Coturnix japonica: one gene and its partner. The protein of the gene in region 1 interacts with the protein of each later gene in a pairwise test. Links are inferred from orthologs where the notes say so. Each region holds a gene or a part of one and is shown in the gene's direction. Other genes may lie near its edges.

Region 1 (10,927 bases):
TGTCTTGTGTTAGCTTTTTTGCATGTCTCTTCCACTTGGAGGTCAGAAAAGAGGGACCAAACTGAACCCAAACAGAGGTTAGGTTAAGTACGCCTTTGTCAAATCACTCTCTCTCCCCTGCAGACCATATCTGACTCATAACACATTGCCTATAATTCATCTATGGTCTCAGTCCCATGGGGATGCTGTTTTTAATTCCCTTGCAGCAAGCCCTGAAGGCTGATTAGCTGCATGGATGCTGACTACACTCAAGCATCTATATGAATATGGCCTTCATGGATCAAGAATGCTTATAAATTGTTTTGCTTTCTAAGTACATATTAACCCATTATCACAATGACAACTGCTTAACACTGTAGTAGCTAATCATTCCACAGGTGAATACTGTTACTGCAAACACAGTGAAGTCATCTAAAGTCTATGGATAAGTGCTGGAATCCTAGTTTGTGGTGCACAGCACAAGTAACAGCAAGTCCAGCTTCTTTTGCTTGCTTGTTCAGATATTTACACCTTTTTGAACTCCTAGAAATTCATAGTTTCAACATCCCGTCAAGTTATCATAGCATTAGATCTGATTCATTGAATATTATAACTTAAATTTGTATCAATGAAGCCAGTACAACCAAGATCTGATAGGTAGAAATTGGTCATTCTACTCTCACTGTAGAGGATCCCTGGGTGTTGCTGTGTGACATGAACTCTCAATGATTTTTCTGAGCACCTAGTGAGCAAAAGTGCATAAACCTTCCTTGTTTCTTGCTGTTACCACAACCCACTTCAAAGGTGTTAGTGCAGTTCAGTAGTCTACATTTCCCCATCCTGTGACTGTATCACATACATGTTTTTAAATATGGCTATGTTTGTTGTTTTTTTTTTCCTCTTTCTTTCTTTCTTTTTTTTTTTTTCCTAAAGGAAATCACATTGCATTCAGTAATAAAGGCATTTTGGATGAGGAAGCTGAAAGCTGAGGGGAAAAAAAGACACAGCCTGTAATAAAGGCATAAACTCTTTCAAAGTACACTATTTTGAAATGAGTCTATTGAGACTTGCATGAGTTAAACACTAAATGACCGTAGTCTAAGATTAAATATTTAAATATACACACACACACACACATATATATATATAAATATATATATATATAATTTCCCACAGCCCAGTTGAGGTGGGTTCAGTTCACAGTTCTGGTTCAGAGGAACTGTGAAGTTGCACAAAACAGTGTATTTCCTTGTTTTTTCACATTTGCTGCTTCAGCTTCACAAGGCAGCTTCTGGTCCCCAGGCTCCTGCTGCTGAGATTCTACTGTGCTTGGATTGAGCATAATAAAACACTGCTGGAGCCTGAGTGTCCTGGCCATTCGATTGCAATTGTGAATGTGTGAACAAGTCAGAAGACAAGTGTTCAGTGATAACAGGATTAGTATTAGGAGATTGAATTCTTTTATCTCTCCAATGATTGTTTTAGTGCTGCTAGGCATTTTCCATTTAAATGAGATTTCTATGGAGCTTCTAGAAAACTATTATGAGAACGTACAGGAGACTAAGCTGATGTTGCAGTTCATTACTATCTGAGATTTGAGATTCAACACCTGAGTCTGTCATTTTTTAAGTGTGAAAAGAAAAAGTATTGTAAGGAAGTCTGAAACTCTTGAAGAAAAATGCCTGAATGGATTTGGTGGCTGTTGATGACTGAAGAAAACAACACAGATTTTGTTTACAGAAAAGCTGTTGTTCACATCTGTTAAACTGATTTTATCTATGTTAGTTTCCTGTTATACAATACAGAAAATGGAAGTGGGCTTTCTTTTGCCTGGAGATAGAAATGGATTTTTCATTACTGAATATTTTGTTGTAACTCTTATTCCATGCATTCTCTGTAGAAAGTGCTGAGCTCAAAGGCTGATCATGTAATGGACTGAACAGTAGCATTGTTGTTTTATACCTCTGCTAGCAAGGTACAAAGTGAATTTTCTACTAGAAGGGAATTGGCTTTCAGTCCTTGTTGTGCATTTGTCTTTCAGCCTGACGGTCCTGCTGTGAATGGCTTTGTCGGTAGACTCAGCTTTGTACCGTTGGCAGCATCTTGGAGCCAAAAGTGCCCCCCAGACTGTGGCGGAATCAACACCTCTGCTGTTTTCTGTCAGAGACAGACTGAAACTCGACTTAAACAAGTGGAGGATTGTGTTTTCCAACAATGGGAGACAGCAGAGAAGCTGGGACCAAGCTACTAGGCTTTATGCTGGAAATAAGATACAGACTACAAAATACACGTGGCTTACTTTTTTGCCCAAAAATCTTTTTAGGCAGTTTCACAGGTAAAAGTGACAATCATCAAGTGGTATATGAAGTATAAGAATTCTTTCTGAAACAGTGATATTTGGAAATGATAGAGAAGGGTTGCTTCTGTAGCTTCCATGTGTTTAAAATTTAGGAGAAGACTCTTTGTAAAAAAATTGTCACCTAATTCATACTGAAGTGGAGGCTTAAAGCAAATAAGTAGTAGGTGGTGTTCTAACCTGTGCCATGGCCACGTTTACTGCTTCAGTACCAGAGCAGCTTTCCTTGGAAAAATTTCAAGTTGCATATCACAATAACTGGTAGTTCCATCTTCATCTCTAGAACTGATATTTCTGTTCTCTTAGACTTATACCTTCATGATTTGATCTTTCATTTTCCACACATGGAATTTTGAGTGAATCCCAATGTGAATTATGAATGTATGTTTTCTGTACTCGTTGCATTGGTTTATTTTTTGAGAGTTGTAAGTGGTGTTGTTTTTCTGTGGGGTTGTTGTGTTGTTTGGTGTGTTGTCTTTTTCTGTGGGGGGATGGAGGGCTCCATAGTAATTTCTTTGTTTGCCCTTTGCTGGAATCTATGATTATTTTCAGAAGTGAGTTTGTGGGAGAACATTAGAGAAGATTCAGCTCCTAGACATATGTGTGTGTGTGTGTGTGTGTATATATATATATATATATATATATATATATATATATATATATATATATACACACACATTTGTACTATTAAGGTAGTTATAATATTATGACAATATAACTCACAAGCTTTTCTAAAGAAAAAAAAATAAGCAACTCAGTTAAATAATTGATTATTTAGGAAAAGGATGAGGTTAGAGATGTGAAACAATTAATGCTTATGGCACGAGATGAGGGATTTTAATTAAGAAGTAACACCTTTAATCCCTTTTTGTATCTTTCTTTACAGGCTAGCTAATGTTTATTTTCTCTTCCTGGTGGTTCTAAACTGGTTCCCACAAATGGAAGTCTTCCACAGGGAGATTACAATGATTCCTCTGATTGTGGTGCTGCTTGCCAGTATGATTAAGGATGCTACTGAAGACTATAAAAAATACCAATTCGATAAGATGATAAACTCCTCTAAAAGCAGAGTATATGACAAGTAAGTAGACCAAACCATTTATTCTCCTTGAGTTTGGTGTGTTGGAAAATGCTTGTTTTGATTTTGTAACAATTCCCTTCCTGACCTTTTGGAGTACAGGAAGTTTGGAAGAGCTGTTATAAAAGACTTTTGTTCTGCTTCAGAAAGTGCTTCATTTATCTCACTCAGGGTCAGAGTTATCCTGAGAAGCTTTGTTCTATATCACAGATTTATGTGCTGATACACCAGTTTTCATTCCAAGTTTCCATACCAGTTTACCAACACAAACAGTATCATCTCCCAGTAGCAGAAGGTTCTGGAGGAAGTCTGGAAAGGATCATTACGGTCTGTTTTTGTTTTTTAATACACGGAAACAACATCTTTCAGAAATTTCGTGATAAAACCATTTATACAAAGTTAATAATCAACTGCATTTATGCGTTCAAGGTGATGTGTAGCCAGGAACTAAGCAAATTTTATAGCATTTCCAGTTAGCACAGGTGATCAAAACAACACATTTTCACTCTGGAAGTGGTACAACACCCACTTGCAGTAAGCTGTGTTGTTTGCTCAGTACTGACTCAGAAGGAAGAAGTATTTTCAAGTGCAATTCTTATTGCAACATTTCGATTTCATCAGAGTTTCTTGTCTAAGTACTAATTTGACTTGAGACTACCTCACTTGTCTCTACATAACACAATAGGAGCTTTGCTTTGTAAGAAGTTTAAATACTTGTGCCTCTTCTATTCTTTCACATCTCCTTATGTCCAAACCATAGAGGAAAAATTACTGTGAAGCCTTCTTGAAAATTAACTCTCATCTGTGCTGATTACTTATGTGGCAAGGGCACAAGGTCCAACAGACTGAAAGAAATGAGAGTCTGCAAGGAGAAAAGGGTGAGAAAGGTCAGAGTTTGAAAAGGAAATGGGAGTCTAGAGGCTGGTCTAACAGGGGAGGAGCTTCAACCTGTGGGGCAACCTGGGTAAACTGCTCTTAAATTGCCTATGTATATTTATAGTTCTTTCTACTAGAAATTTTGTGTTTGTATTAGTGAGTGGGGAGGGACCGGGTGCTTGCTTGTTTGTTGTAATAAATTAAGTTATGAGCTTGAAAGCAAATAGTAGGATGGAAGTAACTAATATCATCTGTACAGAGGCTCATAGTAAATTGGTTGACTTCTGTACTCAGAGCTCAGCCCTTTACCTTTGAACTTCCTGGATGCTAACAGGCTTATAAAACGATTCAGAAACACTTAGAGTGAATGGTGAAAACTGCGTGTATGTTCTTAGTTTCATCTGTGCAGCGCTGAAACAGAGGTACTTCATGTGAGCAGACACATGATTCCAGGGAAATACTCTGGGGCCTCCAGGCATGTAGTAACAGGAATAACAAAACATTCAGGATGTTTTTCTCGTGTGTGACGTGTAGCCTTCCCAGCAAGCTTTAGGACCCGGAGCAGCTGGGTCAGGAAGATACCTGTTCACAGGCAGGTGGATGCTGGAGTCAGCGACAAGCAGCCCTGGGCTCCCGACAGCTTGAGTCTTCCCTCCACCACTTTGGAGTTTATGTGGGTTACTGAACTCTACTAGCTTTGTTAGCCTATGACTTGAGGCTACTTTTTGAGAGGACAGCAAGATGTCAAGGAGGAATTTTCCAGGCTGCTTCTCTAAGATGGTATGGAAAAAACATTTTTTCAAGGAAACCTGCTGTCAGTGTGTTGCTTCAGACACAGAACCCCAAAATGAAGTGCTGGAGAAGAGAGGAAAACTAAAGAAAAGAAGGAAGAAAAATGAAAATAAGCGAGTGATCATCTCCAATTTGTCTTTTGGAAATATGAAGTGGAAGGAAAATCCAAACAGATACTATGACTCCAATAAAATTAAGACCACAAAATACAGCATCTTGACTTTCTTCCCTAAAAACATCTATGAGCAGCTTCACCGCTTTGCCAATATTTATTTTGTGGTCATTGCACTACTGAATTTTGTGCCGGTGGTGAATGCTTTCCAACCAGAAGTTTCTTTGATCCCTATTTGTGTTATAATGGCCATGACAGCCATTAAAGACGCTTGGGAGGACTTTCGGCGGTATAAACTAGACAAAGAAATCAATCACATGGGTTGTTACATTTACAGCAGGTGAGCTTTTTTTTTTTTTTTTTTCCTTTTTTTTCAAACAGCTTTTACTTTGGAAAATGTTGACTTGAGATCTTTTATCAATTGTGAGGTTTCTTGTTTAAAGTATCAATTAATGCCTGCTAGAAAATCACAGTGATTAAGTGAAGTGGTATAAAGTTGCAGTGACTAGATAACACCCATACTTGGTCTGATAAAAAGATGTTCCTATTTTGCTTAAATCTATTGTTCAGACTGGAAAGGAAAATTTTTGTTTCATGGCTCTGCAGTGGCTATTGGCCTCTTAGACGTGGAGTGTTTAAATAGCTGCCGAGCCCTGGAGTTCTAAGGAATTTTCAGCAGAGCTGAATTCTGCCAATAAGGTGCAGAACAAGATTTGCACAAACAATATAGCACAGAACAAGATCATTCATGCAAATGGGTCCTTGTTTGCTTAGAGGCCATGAAACCTTTGAAAAACATTGCTAGTGCTTTGAATTAATTTCAGTTTTATATTCCAGTCTGCAGGCTGCCTTCCAGTTGTGTTTTTGGGTTTTCTTTTATTTATTTATTTACTAGATTATATGTTAAACAAAAATGAATATAAGCGTATTTTAAAAATTTGAGGTAGTAACATATTTCTGTTTGATCTTCTCTAAATGAATTATCTCTAAATATCTGTGACATTTTCAAAATGTTTAATGACCTCTTAAACTTAGGACATTTGTTGTATTAAAACTGTTATCAACATAGAAAATGGCTTCTGCCTCCTTAAATATCACATAGGGTACCAGCAGAGCAAAACTTATAATTTACCTGAACTTTATTTATCATTCCTCCAGTTAATCAGCAGTGCTTTATACAGTGTATGTTCTCACAAGTAGGATCTTGTAAATCTCTAACTTTTATCACAGAGTTCTGCCATTGCTGTTTCTTGCTCTTGCATGTGTTTGTCGGATTTTTATTTTCATATCCTGCTGGTTAAACAGAGAAATAATGGATTTGCTTACTTTTACCCCAACATGCAGATAATGATGTGTCAGAATTAAAATCTTTGCTCATTTTGCCAGCGTATCTGGAAAAGTGGGCATTTTACAAGTTTCTAAATATTGCACATCTAAGACTTCTTTTCTCTTCCACCATGAAGACTGTCGATAATTCTCGTTCTTTGAGTAGGTACCTGAATTGCTCCTACCTTTGATGCTCTCAGAGTTATATTAATCCATGGAGCGATGGATGATTTGTTGAGACCACATAACAGGGAATAGTAGGTGATGCAGTAGGTACTAATGAATGCATTGGCATGGAAACATTACTTCCTCTTGACATAAAGCAATTGTGTTAATTTATATGGAGAAGACTTTTACCTTGAGTAAATGAGAATTAGAGAATACAATATAAACTGTTTTCATGTTAAAGAAAAATGTACGTTATAGCATTACAAGGTACAAACAGATCCAGATCCAAGTTGTAGCCCTTTGTACTTTCTTATGCAGAAAGATGAGACAGCACATCTTAACATTGCTCATCCCATTCCATAGGAAGATCTTTGATCTACGAATAAATCTTGTGTCTTACCAGAGTCTTATGGCCCAAAGCAGTGACGTAAGAGAAAGAATGAATATTAGAGTGTGAAGGCTTCCTTATTTTTCTATCTGGAAAAAGTGTTGACAATTGTAATTGCCATCAGATCTGTAGTTGCAGCTTATTATATAATGAATAATTTTAATCAGGCTTCTATAGCTTTTAGGGAAGCTGGTAGGTCTTGTTCTTCCTGCTAGCTGCAAAGTCATGGAAGAGTATGATGGCTTCTAATTTTCCTCCTTGTGAATCATCTGCCATAGGTAATTTTTTAACATGAGTGAAAGTTTTTTTGGGGGGGACTGTGAATCTTGTTAATCTTGTGACACCAAAGAATCTTTTGTAATAGAATAACTCCTCTTCATCATAAGATGAAAATTTAATTAGATTTAAAGTATTAATCTTGGAGAGTAAATTGTCTTCATTTCAGATTTCAGAAACAAGAACTCTAGTTCCTGTTCCATAAAACATAAAGTGCACTCCCTTTGCTGAAAGCCAAATGTCCTCCAAAAATGTCTTGAACACCAGAGGAAATGCTGCAACTTGTCTCCTTTCAGTATGGAGCAAGGGAAATTGAATTCAAGTAGACTGCCCTGTAAACACATTACTTCTAATTTTCTTTTCACAGAGGTCAGCTGGAATGGCTAATCTAGCCTGCTAGTCAAATGAAGGAAAAGGCACTTCAAGTAGTGTACTTAAAGAATGCTTAATTGGAGAAGGAAAATTAAATAAATAAATAAATAAATAAATAAAAGAAGAAACAATAATATTAAAGTATCTTGGGAGTTTCAATACCTTAGATCTGATGTTTGATTGCAGACATTTTACTTCCTGACTAAAAGGTTTTTGAAATCATAATTTGTATACAGACTGTTGTGCTGCTAGATTACATCACGCTAAACCTCTATATGAGAACTAAAATACACTTGCTTCTTTTCTCTTAGTCTTCTTTTAATTATTCTTAGTCTTCTGTTAAATATACCTAGTCTGCTTTTAAACTTTTGTAGGAATGAGGCTTCTACCACTACAATATGTGATTATCGAAGCATTTTCTAAGATATTCTGCTTTATTATCCTTCTTTAATTGCATTAAAATTCCTCAAGTGACCTGGTTTCATGCAACCCTAATTATTCTTCATCATCAACATTTAATTATAGTTTTCATGCATGTGTAATTTCTATCATGTTCATTTTGCTACTCCCAGACAGCTTTTAGGCAAGATATGTATACGGAACACCCTTTTAATCTGTCTTGTCAGTCAGTCCCTCCACTCCTATTTTGGTTACTGTTCTCTGAACTCTGTTGAGTTTGTCCCTAACTAACTAACAGGGGCCAGCACTGAGTGTAGCATGCAGGTCTGTAAGTGAATGCCAAGCCAACAGTTACTAAAAGCTATTTAATCACTTCAGCATTCCATAATGTTTGAGAAACCACTTGATGTACGTATGATTAACCTGTGGGCTGGGTCTGATGTTCCTCTAGGACAAAGCTGTAATGGTTGGCAAACACTCCATAACATCCAGACAGGATTTTACATCAACTTCACGCTTCTAGAAAATTGAACCTTAATTTTTCTGTTTATTCTGAATAGATGTTCAGGTTCAAGATGGCAGATCAACATGCTTGATTGAACATGCAAAAAGAGGTTTGTTGCCAACGTTTTCATTTTAAGTCTTCATCAGCAGTGCTGAGTTCTTGCTTGTTGAAGAACAATTTCTTTTTACTCTATTATTTTTGTTTTCTAACAAAGCACAACTTTAAAGACTAGGGTTCTGCTGGGGGCTTAATTGGATTCATTTTGTACACCAAGAAAAAGAGTCTCAAGCTTGTGGTCTGCTTTAAGTCCTGCCATCTTCCCTCGGGCAAAATTGCACTGGATTTGCTTTGGCACAGCCACATCAAGGCTTCTGTATCTTGCTGGTGCTTCCTCTGAATGGCGGATGAATATCAACAACAGGGAATCTCCTGGCTTCATACCCTCAAATTGAACAGTTGTTGGGGGGAATGGCTATGGATGCTTGCTAAGTTCTTTTACTTCACTGACTTCTAATAAGTGTTATGGTTCTTTGATGCTGCTGATGTCCGTAAGACTAAACAGCCTCCTTAGATACCAAAATGATGGCAACATGGTATAAACCAGGGATGAATTGGAATGGATATTTTGACTCAGGTGGTATCTCCAGCTCAGGAATACTGTGTGAAGTTGTTCTGTATTATAAGCTATGGGCAGATTTCATGATCAGTTCCTCTTCAGTATAGTGCCACCCTCAAGTTCTTAATCTGCTCCTATGTTGTCATTTTTTCAGGGTTGTTATGGCAGCAGCTCCTAACCTTGCAATTCATAGCTTTGAAATGGTATTTGAAAGCTTAGTGTGAAGTTTTCCATTTAGAATCCTTGACAGTATGCGTTCAATTTGTATCTGCAAAAATAGGCTGTAATGTTTAAATACCTGTGTAATTCCAGATGTTTGTTGCATAGCACTGAGTATGGTGGAGCACTTTTGATAAAGCGATCCTTGAGGGTGACCATTTTCAAACATAACATGCAAATGAATTTGCATACAATAAAACACAAACATTTGGATTTGCCTGTATGTTAGTCTGATTTTATTTTTTTTGTCCAAACTGTCTGATATTACAGTCTGGTGGCAATTTACAGGTGTGAAAGGTAGAGTAACATCTTTACTACAAACTGCAAGGGAAGCTGACTAGAACTTTTAGTAATTCAGAGGAACCAGACCTACTGAGCTAATAGGTCGATGTAACCATTATACATGGTGAAGGTTTCTGAAGTGGCATGTACGTGGAAAACAGTTTTATTTAATCTCCTCTTGGGAGCAGCACAATATTTTCTTACTTCCTCCTATTCACCACCCCTCCTGACCCAGTCTTTGTTTGAAGTTCATTTTTATTGAATCAAAGAATGTGAAATGACTTTGTGTCAACAATAATTTATTCTTGTTCCCCAACAATTTCCAGCCACAGAAGGCTTTTCTGTATGATTCTTTCTCCCCTAAAATACCTTCATAAAATCCATTCAGTTCAGTCCTTCTCATCAGATATGATGAGTCTAACATCAAATTCTGGCAGACTTCTCCGTGACTGTTCCAGGCTGTCTCTTTCTGTCTGCACTACCCTGTGATGGGTGTTGTTGTGCTACCTGTTATTCCAGGGCAGCCAGGGAATGCTTTTAAGTGTGGTGGTGATAAATTGACTGGTAAAGGAGAGAAGGTAATGGAGAGACTTTCATCCTAGCATAACTTTGATGTGCCACAGCCCTGATGCCTTTCACCATGAGAATCAGACTTTCAACTCCCTACCAACTGAAAATCACCACGTGTTGTTATTTTATTGCATAAATATGTGTGCCTTTTTTACATGCCTCTCGTCAAACCATCTTAGACTCACTAAGCTCTTGTGTTTGTCTAGCAACCAAAGCATGACTTATGAGCCTTAATCAGTGAATGGGAAAAGGGCAGTATTCCCAGTTATGGGAATTAGTGAAAGGAAACTGTCTCATTTAAAAAATCTTTTGGGGTAATTGGACCAGCATTGTTGTGGGGTGGAAGAGGTTCCTTGTGCTTTTCTTCCTTTTATCCGTTAATAATTCTCAGCAAAATTTTAGAAAGCCCTCATGCCATAGGAATGTTGATCTTACAGCTCCAGCTAAATCTTTCGGAGAATAGAGCTCTCTACAAAGAAAACGTGCTTTACTGAATTTTTTGTTCACTGGGAGAGAGGGACGCCCTTCACCTGAATGTAGGCCTGGAAGACTAGCAATTCCTGAACTAAATTTCCTATGCAACTGAAAACAACTTCTTTGATCTGGAAGAGGT
Region 2 (9,628 bases), on another chromosome or scaffold:
CACTCTAAACTAATGTGGATTTTTTTTTTTTTTTTTTTCTGTTATAGATTGATTATACAGGAATAGAGCCTTCCAGTCCTTGCAACAAGTGTTTAAATGTGTCCTGGGATAGCACACCGCCTTGTACCTGCACAATCAATTTCACACTGGAACATTCATTTGAGGTACATAACCTTGCATGCAAAGTGAAATGAGATCTGCTGATGTGGTTTATTTTGTAAGTGATAGGAAAATTGCATTCTCACAGCCTTACTTTGTGTCTGCCTTGAAGGATTATTTCTAGTATTCCTATGAACTTGGATTTGATGGCTGTGTGTCTTTTCATTAGCAGAGATGAGATGGTTTTTAGTGCCTCTCTATCTGGAATTGCAGTGTTAAGTGGGACACGTGTCTTTTACACATCTGGATTTACTGTCTGTGTCCTAGGTGGGCGTCATATACTTGACATGTAGATAAGCTATTCCTGCACAACTTAAACTGAGTTCAGCAGGAAGCAGCAGCACTAGATGCATTCTTTGAGGCAAATAATGAGGCTTATGTGCTTGGTGTTGGACAAGGTAAGTATTGGGATAGTACTGATGAATATCCTGCTGCTGGTTTATGGCATGTTGATATTGTTTGACTTCAGGATGCCAGCTTTTGTTGGGATAGTATTGTGTGTATTCAGTACAAAGAGAGTCTTTGAGCATCACTACTGTGAGTGTTACTATAAAGTAAATACAATTTAAGAGGTTGGATTTCCAGGTTTCAGTTAACCAGCATGTTTGTGTGTTTTATTGACCTGTTGTGTAAATCAAAACCCTTCTTGTAGAGTAACGTCTTCATGTATTACGGACTTTCTAACTTCTATCAAAACCACCGTCGCTATGTGAAATCTCGAGATGACAGCCAACTCAACGGAGACAACAGCTCATTACTTGTAGGTATTCGAGCTTTGATATTTACAGATACTAGTAGGCAATGAACAGCTGACTTGCATAAGTTATCACAGGGCAGAATAACTAGTTTAATAATAACGTAGCTGTAGAATTTTTGTATTCAACAAACAATAAGGTATTCATATTTTTTATTAAAAATAATAAACGTTCTTTTATTTATTAAATTCTTAATTCTTTTATTTATTAAAAATAAATAACATTCCAGTTAGAACATTTTTTCCCCTCTTTTAACAGTTTCTAAGCACAGTCTTAATTTTACAATGACCATCATGGGATTTTTGACTTTATTCATATTTTATCTAGAATATTTTCCTGCTTGTAAAGAAAAAAATCAATCATATCGATTAGCAATGAATGCTGAAGTATATGTAAATAAACTCACTCCTGAGAATATTTTGTAGTAAGTGTGAGCTGTGTACGTGTGTGAAGTACTGAAGTATAAACTAGCACAGACTGATCTGCCTTTTTTTCTTTCTAACTGTCAGAATCCAAGTAAGGAATGTGAGCCTTACCGCACCAATGAGGATAAACCCATTGCTCCCTGTGGGGCTATTGCCAACAGTATGTTTAATGGTACGGTAACACTTCTGAGTTTAGCACTGAGGTGTTTTTGTGTTGTGTATGCTTTGTACTGATGCTTTATTCTGGGTATTATTGTGGATTGTTTTGTTTTGAATTAACACACCTTAATTGTTTGGAATGTTGAGATTAAAATACCATTAATAACCACCACAGTGAATTTAACCTGATAGCACACAAGGGATTGAAACATCTGTTGTGAGTGGCTGTTATGGCTGTGGAATAAAGATGCTATACATGTATAACGCACTGCTCTGTATGTGTGTGGATTATTACAGAACAGTTCTTGATTGTGGCAATTTGTTTTTCCTGTAGATAATTATTTTACTGCCTATCAGGATCATTCATCTAATAAAAGCCACTCTTATCTGGTCTTCCAATTTGATTTTCCCCATAGATACATTGGAATTGTACCACATCGAAAACGACACAAGGACCGCTATTACTTTGATTAAAAAAGGCATTGCGTGGTGGACAGATAAAAATGTGAAGTTCAGGAATCCTACAGGAGATGGAAAGAATTTAACTGCGCTCTTCCAAGGTAAGAAATGTGTGAAATTTTAAGAACAAAAGATTTCAAACACATTGATTGCCATGGACTTCACCTCAATGGTGACATTGTAGTGAACATGTTAAATATATTGTTCTATGAAGAAGTCCAAGCTAAGGACTTCTCTGCTTTCTGGAAGAGTTGTCTGTTAACAGTGGATGCTGCAAATTTAATGCAGAACTAATATAATTTTTTCTAAATTCACTGTAGTCATTTAACATGTAAAAATAGAACCTGGGCTTATTTCCTGTTTAATCTTTCTGAACTTTCATGAAAGCTCTTTCTGTCAGTTGCTTGGCATCAGATTAGTTTTGCCTTAGCAACTAATCCAATTTGTTAAGATGGTGAAAAGATTCTTGGCTTAAGTGATATTTCAATTACTTGTTGCCGTTTGGGATCTTGAAATATCAAATCAAATTCTGATATATATATATGTGTGTGTGTGTGTGTATATATATATATGTATATATATAATAGCTCTTGATAACTTTTTATGCCTTGAATACTGAGAAAATCCTCGTTAAGTGCAGTGCTATAATACGTGGTTTTAACTTCAGAAGAAATCCTGTGATTATTTAACCAAACTGTGTGAAATTTTCTTTTTTAATGTTTCTACTGGTAGATCTTACAGTGCTTTTTAAAATCTGATTATTTGTGATCAGATTAACTGATTTTTCTCAGTTATAAGGTTAAATGTAGTTAAGTACAGCCTGGTAAGTCGGAGTTTCTTTGACAAAGTCTAAAAGCAGTTTTCCTTCTGGGCTTTTGGGTCTGTGTGTATATGTAAGATAGAAAATAGCTCTAGGTTTAGCCTGATATGTCTTGCTTGCTTAGTCACAGCCAAGTGACCTTACCAAAGTGATGTTACCCTTGCAAAGGCAGATGCCATACTCTAATGTTCCTGAGCAGTTCAGTAATCTTGCAGTAGCAATGAGCCAGTCTGGCTCTTCGTACTGCTTAGGATTCACTGCATGTTTTTTATGATACTAGAATGAATTTTGGTGATCCAGTGCTTCATTTAGTCCTGTGTTTGAAATGCTTTATTGTTGTTTTTGTTTAATCTTAGGTACAACAAAACCAGTCAACTGGCCCAAACCAGTGTATATGCTGGACTCTGAGCCTGACAACAATGGCTTTATCAATGAAGACTTTATCGTGTGGATGCGTACTGCTGCTCTGCCAACATTTCGTAAGCTGTATCGTCTCATTGAGAGGAAGAGTAACTTACAGCCTACCTTACAGGCTGGAAAATATTCTTTGGATATCACGTACAGTATCCTTTGAAAATGCCCTTAAAAACTCCTTAGAACACTGTCTGGGTTACATGGGTGGACTTTTAAGGAAGGTTAAATCAAATGAGACTTTATAATTGCTGTCTTCTGCATATAGTTTATAGAACTAACTTATGTTTGTTCTGTTAAGATCATGAAATTCAGTTCCGTAGCTTCATAAAGGGAAATGACTGGGTCATCTTGACTTCAGAATGGCCACCTGAAGCATGGAGTTGTCTGAGCTAGTTATGCTAAAGTAAGAAGTAGCTCTAATTAAAAACCAAAATCCATTGTTCTAGGAAAGAGAGAAAGCTTTCTTTGATGCATAGGAGGGATGTGACAGTCTGCAAAAACCATGTTCCTGTCTCATGCAATCACTCAGACTTGTGGTATGTCTGTGGCTATACCATATAGAAAGTCACAAAGAATTTACTATATTATAGAAGTTGACTTTATGGTGAAGGTTTTGCCAAGGTGACTTTCGTAGAATCATAGAGTCACTCAGGTTGGGAAGGACCTTAAAGATCATCAAGTCCAACCGCAGCCTAACCATGCTACCCTAACTAACAGCCCTCTGCTAAGTCATGACTCTGAGCACCACATCCAAATGGTTCTGAAACACATCCAGGGATGGTGACTCAACCCACCTCCCTGGGGAGCCTATTTCAGCGCTTAACAGCCCTTTCATTAAAGAAGTTTTCCCTGATATCCAGCCTAAACTTATCTGGTGCAACTTGAGGCCATTTCCCCTCATCCTGTCACCAGGGAGATCAAGTATCTTTTTGAGAATATTATTCTTTAGAAATGTAGGATTTTACCTCTTGTGTTTCATTTTTAACTTAAAGCACATCACACTTGCCTGATGACGAGGGTGGAGGGAGAAAAACACAATGCTGCGGAGTCAGCTGGATCTTCAGATACAATCTAATACAGGAATGACTTGTAAATTTGTAGCCTTATTGCAAGTTTTTTCACTTAGGCTCATATTCTTCAATGTAAATACAGTTTTAATCATAATTTTCTTAAACTATTGTGTAGCTCTCATAGAACTGCATTATGTATTTAATGAGGATGAAAATATTATTTGGATTTTTTTTTTTGTTTCTGTTTTCAGAGATCACAAAATGGGGGGACAAAAAAAAAAACAACAGCACCCCAGTCTTCTAAAGAGGCCTTTGTGAGATTATAAATTAATATCAGGGAAGATTTCAGTGCAAAATTTGCCAGTAAGCAAATGAAGGACACTAGTCTAGACACTAGTGTCTTCTCAGTATGCTTGAGTGCTTAGAGGGGTATGGTCAGCCTCATTCACCCTTAGTCTCACACAGCTTGTTCACATATGTGGCTCCTTGCAGTCCCTGCTGCCTGCTTCAAGGGATTGAGGCTGCAGTCTTTGCATGGGAGCATTTTCATGTGATAATTTTTTGGGTAGATACAGAAGCAGACAGACTGCAGTCTAACAGGAAGATGTGTAGGCATAGTTCAGGTGATGCTTTGCTTGAGCTGTTAATTTAGAGGTGAAGAGCTCAGAATTTAGAGGCCAGAGCTGTGGATCAGGTGCACATCTGTCATTCCTTTTTGGGCACACAAAAGATGAGGTAGTTATGTAGGAGACTAGAGGAGGCAGGTTGTCATAGTTACTGAATTCTTAAAACTCGAAAGCTCCTGAAGATCATTAAAGTACTCACTGCAGTATTTTTCTTCCCTGCAAAACAGCAGAGAGTGCGTGTAAAAAAGAGTCTATTTATTATTTATCTATTTATTCACTAGGAAAAACTAAAATACAGATTTCAATTCCTCAGTGTATTTTCTTCATTTTATTGAAGTTCCTTTCAAAGGCCCATGAAACTGCATTTACTTTCCACTTACAAAGTGAATAACCCCTGTGGCATTTTTCTTGGAGTAGTTGACTGTGCCCAAGTTAATCTTTTTTTAAAAGAACAGCTACTTTGAAGCTACTTTGAATATTCAAAGATGTTTGTGTCGGGAGCCTGAGTCAGATAATCCAACATGTTAGTGTGCCTGATTAAGTTAGGTTTGGAAATGCACTTCATGTTTCTTGTTTTCCTATATTCCTTGTTTTCTCTCAGATTATCCCGTGCACAGTTTTGATGGACGAAAAAGAATGATCCTAAGCACAATCTCATGGATGGGAGGCAAAAACCCCTTCCTGGGCATTGCGTACATCACTGTTGGGTCCATATGCTTCTTCTTAGGAGTTGTATTGCTGATCATCCATCACAAATATGGAAATAGAAACACCAGTGCAGACATTCCCAATTAAAGTCGCGTTTTGAAAGCAACTATGCTGCATGTGCATCAAGGCCAGTCCAGAACGGACCCAGCTGTTGGAAGATAAATCTCTGCTAATGTCACTTCTGGGGCTGGGTATATAATTTTATCTAAAGATCTCCTTTCCCCCTTGCTGTGGATTAACTCTCAGAATGACGGGTATACAATTAGCTGTATTGATTGTATCTCTGCATTTGTCAGAAACAGTTTTCTGATCTTTGCCTCTGGCTGGGCAGGCCATTTGATGCATGTAGCTCCGGTTCCCTTGATGCATCTGCTGCTTGTCATGTGCTGTGTAACGTCAGTATGATTCAGTACATACAGATTGTGGAGAAGACTGTTGTAAGATACCATGTAAATTGTTCATTTAGCAGAATTTGAGTGTCATTGCTTTTGAAAGGAAAAGGCAAGTCTTAAGTGTTTTTTTCAATTTATTGTCTTGTGTGCATGGACTCTTACATTTCCGGATGAGATTTTAATATATTTATATTAGCAGTTAAATGTTCTTTCCTGTGTCCTACCCACCTTTGTTACGTTAGATTCTTTAAGTGCAGTGCGAATTGCAACACATGGAATTCCTGTTAATAGTTGCAACAGATGTGCCTGGCCAGTAAAATGGCATTCTATAAAGGCATCGGGAAACCTATTTGTTCATTATCTCTATGAGTTCCTCTTAAATTTTGTTCTAAACTGGGAGATGTTTGTTGCAGGTAGAACCTGCTGTTTTGTTGTTCTCTTTGCTTTAAGTTATATCCAGTTTTCCTGATGTGCTTTGCTGGTTTTGCTTTTTAAAGAGTACCTCCATGCAGTAAGCAAGATGAATCTAAAATGTCTGTTCAAGTCACAGACTTGAGTGAATTCCTTTCACTAAGAGTTTCTTGAAACATGTATTCTGCTGAGCAGGCTTTGTTGTAAAGGAAATCTCACGTTCTGTTTCCTTATATGGAGTAGATGCCACAATAAATTCTTGCAGTGTTGAGATACTGAACTGTAGAAATTGAGAAGCTGAGATGACAGTGATCTTTGTTATTCCAGTGCAGCTTATGTTTGCAGTGAAACCTAATTGAAATATTGCAGTTAGAAGCAGTGAGGTTTAGTGTCATAAACAGCAGAAGGGTTCACTTCTAGGTTAATTTGAAGCTAGTTAATCTATAAAATACTATCTGATTTCTTTTTAGATGATGCACAGAAATTGTAATGTATATGGTGGAGATCACTTTATATGCAACTAGCTTCGTAAGTACTGAGTGTATTAAAAATACCTAATAAATTCTGCAAACCATTTATTAAGAGATTTTACTTTCTTCTTGAACGTGCATTTATTTTCATCTGGGTGAAAAGCCATTCTCATGAAGAATGAATGCGTTTTAAGCAAGTTGTATTTCTCAGTTACAAAAAATCAATGTAACATCTACAGCCATCTTTATACAACACTGTATTAATCTAGCACATAAATGCAAAACTATATTTAGTCAATTACTTGTGTAATGTTTTTCAGCTTGCGGTTTACGTGTTTAGGTCTGCATACACTGCAGGATGAAGCAGTGTTTCCATGGTGCTGGCTTTCTGTATAAGCATATAATTTGCTTACACAGTACATTGTGGTAGCGCAGGGCTTTTAAACATTCAGGTCTTCTAGATTTTTTTGCAGTGCTGTATCTGTTGCTGGAAATATAGGATAAAGATATAGAACTGTATATTGCAAGGTTGGAAGGTTGCACAAGATGTTAAGCTGGCATTCCTCTGGAGAACAGTTTAGTCCAAAACAAAGTAGACAAGTAAGATGTTTCCCATTTACTGCTTACTAAAATATTTTGATTTTTAAACCATTTGTCACTTGAAAGGTAAATGTTTTGCTTTATTCATGACCCCTTTTCTGAGCAGGGAATGCTGGTTTTTGGGCTGCGTTCAAAATGGAAAAGAATATTTCTCTATCTCTACCTAGAAATGTTTTTCATTGCTTTTTTCTTTTCCTGTTGAGCACAGCTGTCACTGCTGTTTGGATCTTCTTAATGAAGTGCACCAAGAAGAATTGCTGAATGTTTGTTCTTGCTACAAATAAAGCCTTTTTTCTGAAAGCCTGTAGCACAAAATACTTGTCAGTATGCAGTGGCGCAGTGGTAGGAATGCTGCGTTGCAACACTGGAGGCCCGAGTTCGAATCCCCCCTGTGGCACAAGTGGTAGAAGCGCCGCTCTGCTACACAGGAGGCTCGAATCCCAGGGGTTGGACTCAATAATCTCTAAGGTCCCTTCCAACCCGCACAAGACTATGATACTATGATACTATGAATATGAACATTATGCCCAAGGAAGTCAAAATATTAGGTCTAACTTGTAATCTCTTACTTTACTCTTCTTCGTTTGCCTTGGTAGCACGTAGGTAACTACTGGGATTCTTAGACTTTGCGTTTCCTGGAAGCTGCCAATGTGTCATGTGTTCAAAGACAAAGCCACAGTGTCCCTGTCTGACACTTGTCAGGGCGGTGTTGCTGTCCCAGTGCTGTGTGCCGTGTGTTGGAGCTGACCACCTGTGCCCTGGTCCTTCAGTGACATCCGTTCCACACAACTGCTAGTGTTCAGATCTGGAAAGCAATGCCTCTCGTTTCCAAGTGCCAGCCAGGCACTTTCCAAATCCCACCCTGTTGAGGCAGTGCCCAAAGCATGAGATTATAGGCTTCCTGGAAGCAGGCGGTGTTAGGACATCCTACTTGTGAATGAATCTTTCCTGGAGAAATTAATGTGGGAAACTAGGATGTGTCTCTGTCTTACGCAGGAGCTTTTAAAACAAAATCCTTTGTGTGTGTCCATCTTCCTTCCAGCCTTGTTAAAATCTGCACAGCTGTAGCAAAGCAGAGGGCCCCTTGGGTACTTTTAAATTGCTTTGGGCTATTTGGAGAGCTGTTGGTTGTGATTAGCTGAGTCAGAGGGAAGAGTTATCGCCTTAAAACTTGAATGTGAAGAATTCTTTGTAGCCTTTGCCTCTGAAGGTCACATTGGTACTGAAACCACAGTGTCAGCAGCCTGGTTTTGCTTTAATTATGAATGTTAAACCTTGAAGAACACAAGGTTTGTCTTTTTATAGAAATCTTTGACAATCTAATGTCAGGTAACATCTGCTTGAGTCTGCCAAGTAGCAGAAAATGCCTGAAAATCTGATCCTACCTTGGTCCTACATAAGACCAATATCTTTTGTATTTGCTTTATAGAAATTCTATATTTGTTACTGTGTGTTGCTCTCTGCAACTCAACTAATTTTGAAGAGTTAGAAAGGAAGAGGGCAACAGTGCAGAAGCCTTCATCAATGTCCCAACAATAATAACAACAAATACATACCAAGGTAGTCCTATGAGGGGCTGTATCAGCCTAGTTACAATCAGTTACTTATAAATAAAATGACATTTTTGAGTGCTTGTGTCTGTGTTGAACAGCCTGCCAAAAGAAAACTCTTGCTTGGTAGGGGAAGGAAGTGAATGGTCAAGCTACTTTTATTCCAGCTGTCTTTTTAGCAATGTGGTCAATGTATGGACTCCTAAGATAGAAGGCCCCAGTTACATATCTTCCTTGGATCAGCAGAAGTACTTTCATGTTACAGTTCCATGCATTTTAGCTCACAGAATATGATTTAATTAACATAGTATGCCTTAAATGGGAGCTCTTGATGGTTTTGATTTAGATGGACTGTGATCATAAGCCTGATAAGAATCCATATCCTTATATGACCTGGGTCGCAAATAAGAAACTCTTTTCTTCTGCTCAACCAGCACATGAATTATAGTAATAATGTCTGTTGCTTGAGCTTATGCCAATTTCTGCTGTTGGAAATAGTTGTTCTCATTTTATGTTGGAAATAAGTAAGCAGAAATAAAAGCATGACTCGTAACTAATGAAGCTAAGGGGTTTTTATTATTATTATTATAGCAATTAATTTGAAAGAAAATGGATAGGATTTCTTCTTCCTAAACCCTGATTTCAGGTAAATGTGACCTCAAAGAAGCAA

The links. The genes of interacting proteins can lie anywhere in the genome.
Region 2: the proteins of ATP10B (region 1) and TMEM30A interact in a protein complementation assay, tested with the Homo sapiens proteins (2 studies listed by IntAct, with this or other methods). The link is inferred for Coturnix japonica from reciprocal best matches to the Homo sapiens genes ATP10B and TMEM30A.

The regions. Positions count from the first base shown.
Region 1 is NC_029528.1:9,787,585-9,798,511, forward strand, and holds the start of ATP10B (probable phospholipid-transporting ATPase VB), read left to right. Parts: upstream 1-4,129; 5' UTR 4,130-5,030; coding exon 5,031-5,533; intron 5,534-10,927. UniProt on the Homo sapiens protein: Catalytic component of a P4-ATPase flippase complex, which catalyzes the hydrolysis of ATP coupled to the transport of glucosylceramide (GlcCer) from the outer to the inner leaflet of lysosome membranes.
Region 2 is NC_029518.1:73,686,477-73,696,104, forward strand, and holds the end of TMEM30A (cell cycle control protein 50A), read left to right. Parts: intron 1-47; coding exon 48-164; intron 165-811; coding exon 812-919; intron 920-1,423; coding exon 1,424-1,511; intron 1,512-1,914; coding exon 1,915-2,058; intron 2,059-3,133; coding exon 3,134-3,340; intron 3,341-5,428; coding exon 5,429-5,622; 3' UTR 5,623-7,708; downstream 7,709-9,628. UniProt on the Homo sapiens protein: Accessory component of a P4-ATPase flippase complex which catalyzes the hydrolysis of ATP coupled to the transport of aminophospholipids from the outer to the inner leaflet of various membranes and ensures the maintenance of asymmetric distribution of phospholipids.